Linked DNA regions of Drosophila melanogaster. The protein of the gene in region 2 interacts with the protein of the main gene of each other region in a pairwise test. Each region holds a gene or a part of one and is shown on either strand. Other genes may lie near its edges. The genes, in order: CG9192 and ksh.

Region 1 (3,927 bases), on a different chromosome or scaffold from region 2:
GGCGCACATGTTGGAGCCAGCGAAGCCGCAACGCGGACGCTGTGTAGCTGCCATCTGCTTCTCGTGGAAGGTGCTCACCTGCATTGTGTCCCATGTGCTGCTCGTGCTTCTCGTGGTTTCCTATTGCGTGGGCGGTGCCTACCTCTTCCAGCATCTCGAACGACCCCACGAACTAGAGGTGAGTGGGTGATTTTGCTGGAAGGTCTCAAATGCTAAAAATCCAAAATCCCCATGCAGGTGAAGCGAGACATACAGAATCTTCGCGTTAATCTCACGGAGAATATCTGGCTACTGTCCGACGACGCAGTGGTCCTAAGGGAAAGCGATTGGATGGCCAATGTCAGCAAGCACCTGGCCAATTTTGAAAAGCAAATCCTTACGGCCATCAAGGCCGACGGCTGGGATGGCGACGAGGATCTGCGCAAGTCCCAGTGGACCTTTGCCGGATCCCTGTTCTACTCGATTATTGTGATAACGACCATAGGTGAGTATGTTTTTTTTAAGCTTATGGATTGAGTTCTTCAAAGTCATGTGTGAGTAAACATGGGAATTTATTTGCTTAGTCTATACGTAAACTATGCCTACACTAAGGTGACTACTTCCAACTCAGCCTAAGGGAAAAAGGAGGGTTGAGTGGGAAAGTAATAGCTTCAGTTCCATATCTTTAACATAACACCTTCCACTTCTAAAACACGAAGCTCTAGACCTTCTTACTGAGCTTATCATTCACTTTTCTGGGTGACGCTGCCACACTCTTAGCACTCTTACCATCGGCCACAGCTGGCGATTTCTCGTCATAGCCGAAGCCTCCTCCTAGAGGTGGAAAACTTCCACCGTATCCGAGTCCACCGTTGCCTACTCCAAGTTGACCTAAGCCCAGTCCTCCTGCCAGACCATAGCCCTCGGTGTACTGAGGTCCACCGAACTGTTGGTTTGCTGGGTACTGTCCCAATCCTGGGAACTGGGCACCTGCGCCCGCGAATTGGCTTCCACCGAAGTCGCCACCTGGATAGGAGCCGTAAGGGTATTGCCCATTGCCAGGAAATTGGTTGAGGCCAAGTCCATTACTGGGGAAGTTGTTAAACCCACCACCCACGCTGGCTCCGGGGAATCCAGCTCCGGGAAGTCCCTGTCCTACTCCTCCGTATCCGCCTGGATATCCACTAATGCCATTTTGAGCTCCAGAGAATCCACCATAGCCTGGCTGATAGGGAGTGGGGTATAGCTGCGGTCTCCCTATGATTCCGGTGGGTCCGCCAGGTCCGACTAGCACTCCGGGGTTTCCGTTATAGCCTCCAAGTCCTCCGAACTGTCCGGCATTGGTCTGACCACCGTATGGATTAAACTGACGGGTGCCTACGTTGGGAGTGTCCGATGACCTGGTGGGCTCCACATCGGCATAGTCCTCTATCTCATCATTCTCCGGTTCGCCCGGAAAAGGTCTTCGAGTCGTGGGCTCCCGCCTCAGCTTTTCGTCGTACGAGTTCCTTATGGGGGAACTGCGATTGATGTCCCGAAAAGAGCGCTCCCTGCGATTGTAGGACCTCCAGACCCACTGATCTCGATCTCCATCCGAAGACTTAGCCGCCACTGATCCAAGAAGGCATAGGACGATGATGAGGCAATAGCTTGGCATGATTGGCACGCTTTGTTCGATTACACACTGACCCGATTTTTGCGCTTGATCGCGGCAAGCTCCCGCAACAGAATAGTTCGAAAATGCGACCGGCACACACTACTTATATAACCGCACCCGAGAACCAAAAAACAAATACAACCGCCAGAGACATCAGCGGCGATGACGACGCACAAACTCAGTCAAGCGACGAGGGCAGCCGCAGGTATTCGCATTCGGCGGCTGCCCGACCAATGAATCAACGATCGTGCCAGACAGAAATCTTCAGAGATCTGTGGCCCAAGTCTTGGCCCACGTTGATTCACCTGAAGCGCGACCAGACCGCAATCCGCCCAGGAACCAATGAGGCAAGCGGATGAGTCGGACAATTGGTTTTGTCCACACAGCGATCACGTTGAAATCGCATAAATCACGGTAATTGACCACCACCGATCGACCTAAAAGCTTATTCCTGGGAATTTCCATGAGTTGGAAAACATATGCTTGCTTCCTTTGCAGGGCGGGAGTCACAAGTCAAAGATTCAGCTCGGACACAGTCAGGTGAGCAGCCAGCACGTGGTTGACCTCTAAAAATGGGTTCATTCGGGTGGTGATGGCTTTCAAAGGGAGCGAGGGTGTGTGGAGCGTGTCAAATGAAACCAAAAGTGGATTGCTGCCATCCAATTGTTTGTGGTCAAAACAACAGCAAGGTCAAACGCCACTGACCGATCGTGATTATCTTTTCTGGCATTTCAGATTTTTAGATTTTAACGATGGGAATTTCTCATTATTAGTATACCCTAACACACAGGGGGTGTTGGTGATTAGTGATTACTCATAAAAGGGGAAGTGGTGCATGGAAGGTTTTCAATCGAAGGCCTTAAGCAAACCCCAAGAACTCTATAAACTCTCCTACTTTAAAAGTATACAGAAACCTTTTTCACTTTAACCCACTTAGAGCATTCAACTTTTCGGCTTTCGAGTGGAAGTATTTGGTATAAATCAGTTTATTAGCTCTGGCTGTTGATGATGGGAGCTTAGTTTTACGCTTTTCGTCTGCACTTTTCCCCGATATGGATTTACGGCTAGCACACAAATGGGTTTAGTGACCGACGCCCATCAGATAGAACCCCGCGAAGAGGGGCACAGAATGCTATCTACGAATTTGCACACTTCCGTAAAGGCCAAAAGCGGCAGACTTGAAATGCCATGTTTGCTATTTCGAAGCGATAATGGGCTTGGCATGAACAAAAAGAAGTACATATGGATTGGGGATTGGGCCTTAGCGGGTCTTAGATTCATTAGTATTTCAAGAACTTTGCGGTCACGAGGTTGAAGGTGAAAGGTGACTCAAAATCAATCTTACCTATCTGCGAAAGAGTAATTATGTGTTCCTTGTCATTCTCTGGACAGGCTATGGTCACATATCGCCGCGTACGGATTGGGGCAAGGTGACAACGATTTTCTACGCCATTGTGGGCATTCCGCTGATGCTCATCTGCTTGTCCAACATTGGCGATGTCATGGCCACATCATTTCGGTGAGTTGACATCGATGAGCTGAGAACTAAATGAGTATGTTTTCATACATATATTCCAATATAGGTTTCTGTACTGGAGAATATGCTGCTATGTGTGCACCCGCACGGCCAAACGTCCGAGGAATGCCCGATCCCGGCAGAGATCGATGCGCTCTCAGCGCCATGCCCGATCCCAGCCGCCGCCCTCGTTCCGGCGCTCCATGAAGATGACCCAACGGTCTGGGAATGACTCGGGTCTGGGTCCTTCCATGGGTCATGCCTATTCAGATCCCGACCTGCGCACCATGGGCCGGGGCTACGATGACCGCGAGTTCGGACATCGGAGCAGTGGAGGCGGACGCAATCGTCGTCAGCAGCAGCAGCAGCATTTGCATCACGATCCTCGCCAGCGTCACACCATTTACGGAGATGGGTACGAAACTCAGACCCTGAACAGATCCAACCGCTACAGTAGCCGGCAAAGACAACGGGATCGGATGAGGGACAGACACACGGTAGAAAGGGAGCGCTACTCTCGATCCCACTTGGATGCTGGATCCATTGAGGACTTCGGTGACATGCAACCTCCTGCGAAAAGAGCTGCCAGTGTGCGATCGGTTCGATCGCCACACAATCAGGAATCTTCCAAAGCGTCCAGAGAACTGCATCGTCTTCACTCGGCACCTGGGAGAAGTAGGGCCAAGTCCGTGGATCCCAGGCACGTTTCTTCACATTACGAAGACGTCGACGAGGACGTGGTGAGGAAAACACCAATTATACCAAATAGGTATGC
Region 2 (2,964 bases):
TGCGTAAATGCTCCTTCATTCATCAACATGATAATCAGCATGAAAAACAAAATATTGCTTGTTTACCGTTTACGAATCGAGGCACACGCAGCGATTACCGACTTTGCTGGAAGAGAAACCGATAACAATAAATGCACCCGATGAATACAGAAGGCAGAGTGGAGCGAAACTAAAAACAAAAATAAAGAGCGCACACTAGAGCGCGACTTTTTTGCATTGCATTGGTGTGTTATCGGTGTCGGTGGCCGCTCTGCGCATGTGCGTAGTGTTTTGGTGTTCGCGGGTGTAGGTCCATGGGTGAATGTGTCATGAAAGCACTGGAAGAGGATATAATAATGCAACTCACCTCCGGTTCGCAGCACTTTAAACCGTAGCACTTTAAAATTGGGGGTGGGGTTAAAAGAGCATATACTGTTTGTATTTTACACTTTTCACTCACGATTTACCGCCCCTCGAGTGGGGCACTCCGATAACTTTGGCGCGGATCTATGCGAGTGGCCGTCACTGTGCTGTTAGCAGCTAACAGTGCTGTAATCGCCGACGTCAACGATACACGCAAGTGCGTGTGTTTGGCGCGCGTGCGGGTGTGTGTGTGTACTTACATAAATACACATGCAAGGAACCGATTCGCGGATCATAGCTTAGCTTAATATTGCAGTCGGGAACTTACCGCTTTGCCAGTGCAGCGACTGGAAGTCATCGCTGCTGCTGCTGCCACAGAATGTTATTGTTTTTCTTGTTGCAGTTCCTGTTTGCCTCTCTGTTGCTCCGGCTGCTGTCTCGCTCGTGTTCCCTCTCTCTTACTCACTCGCACTTAACAACAAAACCCAGCGCGCTCGTCACACACACACTGTATTACTGATTTAAATACACACGCACACACACCGACAGGGGGGGCAATGAGAAAACGTATCCGATTATTATATATATGTACATGTATATCTAAATATACTTTTGATTTTTATGAGCGCGCTCAGTTACAATTGCATTGGCAGCACCATCGTATTCACAGACGTACACGCACACACATTGGGGATGCACTCGGTCGGGATTCTCCGCTCCTGCTCCCCTCCTTCATCCCCTCGCGATACCAAGTGGAAAACGAAAACGGGCCACAAAAATGAAGAAAAGAGCCAAGGAAAACGCAAAAGCACGGGCGGACTTAAAGCCAAATCGAACGATTTACTGACGCTCGCCGAGAATTGGCCAAAGCTCACCAATCGGAACAGCAAGACACTGATTTGCCAAGCGGGCGATCGAAATTGATCGGATTATATGTAACAACAAACACAAAAAAAATACCCGCAGCGAATTAGAAGTTGCAGACAAATTGCTAGAGGTGGCCCACTGCGTCGATGTTTATGCGATACTATGTGCGATAAGTGTGGACCCATCGATTGCTGTTCCGCGCCAGTCGATTGAATTCACTTGACCTAATAGCCCGATTCCATTGGCACATATTTCAATTGGGGGAAGCTCCACTGCCAACGTTAATTGAAACAAAGTCTTATCTTATTTCATTTACTTGACCCACGGTTGGATTGCAATACAAGTTCCGATACTATCGAAATTAAGCTTACGTTTTTTTGTATACGATGTCTTTTGTAAACTCTTGCACTTTTCAATACTTCCTATGGCGTTTTTATGCTCCCTGTGGGAACTTGGCTAAGAGCTTGTTACTTTCTATTGTAAAATATTTATCCAATGTCCATCCCAGATAATGGAAGTAGGTCGCCAAAATATGTATTTAATATAAATATATTCTTATATTAACTCCTAAACATTGTAACATTCCTTATCATTCTAACAGTTGATTAACCACCTATCGAATCAGTCGAAACGTGAGATTCCAGTTTTGGAACCAGTTCGCCTGCGCCGAGCGGCTGGCACGTCACTAGTTTACCGCTTGTTGTTATTCTATCGCCAAGCACGGATTTCGATTTGCTAAATCATGGTTTGAAACGCTCACCTAACCGATACTCCTCCGTCGTACACTTAGCACCGTTTCCCTCCACAGAGCGCCCTGTTCAACTTCCACAGCCTGCTGTCGGTCATCCTGCTGCTGATCTGCACCTGTGCCTACCTGCGCTCGCTCTTCCCCAGCTTGATAGACCGCAACAAGACCGGGTAGGTGCCCGTTCCCGCCCTGACCAGTCCACTGATTGTTACCACACTCAACACTCGTCTGCTGTCTGTTTGCAGATTCATGGGCACCTTCTGGAAGCTGGCAAGGATTGGGGAGCGCAAGTCGCCGTGGGTAGGAGCCGCCTGCCTGATCATGGCCTTCACCGTTCTCTTTTGGAGCTGAGCTCCTGCATCCCGCATCCCCTCCAGGAGCCGAATGGCACCATAGATTAGATATTCCAAACTTTCTAGGACTGTAAATACACGCTGCGTTCTGCAGCACTGGCCGCACATTTCGGGCTTTCCCAACACTTGCTGTTCTGTTCTGTTCTGTTTCGCGCTGGCTAAAAATGTCTGGCGAAGATGTGGACGAGAAGCGAGAACAGCTGCGTCTTTTTGTGACAGCCAGCAGGAGGCGTCTCCACGTCATCCTGCAGCGCTTCGGTTGGAGCGAGCGCGGGGTGATGGGGGCGGGTAGCCACAGACCACAGGACAAAAACGGCGCAACTAAATCGGAGGTGTTAGAGCCATTGCCATTGCCGGCGTCATGCAGCAACAATCCCGACTTTAGCATCCAGCTCGATGACTCGACTATTCAGGGCATTGTGGGCACCGAAAGAGCACGACGCCTCCTTCCTGCTGCCTCCTTTGATGATCTGCAGGCAGGACTCGACGCGAGTCAGCGGCTGCTCATCTACGAGCACGTTCTAAAGCACACCAAGAAGCACCCGCAGTTCCAGGACAACACCGCCTTCGCCGAGGTGGTGGGCGAAACCCGGCGTCAGCAAAAGAATCATCGGCGCCACCGCAAGAGCAAGCCCACGCTCAACGAGGAGCTGC

Evidence for each region.
Region 1: the proteins of ksh (region 2) and CG9192 interact in a two-hybrid assay, tested with the Drosophila melanogaster proteins (one large-scale study listed by BioGRID).

Annotation. Positions count from the first base shown.
Region 1 is NT_037436.4:1,236,600-1,240,526, forward strand, and holds CG9192 (uncharacterized protein), read right to left. Parts: upstream 1,721-3,927; 5' UTR 1,637-1,720; coding exon 701-1,636; 3' UTR 534-700; downstream 1-533. Other genes in the region: galene, read left to right, coding at 1-178, 238-484, 3,029-3,155, 3,220-3,927.
Region 2 is NC_004354.4:19,493,890-19,496,853, reverse strand, and holds ksh (kish), read left to right. Parts: upstream 1-1,861; 5' UTR 1,862-1,951; coding exon 1,952-1,954; intron 1,955-2,017; coding exon 2,018-2,127; intron 2,128-2,202; coding exon 2,203-2,308; 3' UTR 2,309-2,434; downstream 2,435-2,964. Other genes in the region: CG12204 (uncharacterized protein), read left to right, coding at 2,475-2,964.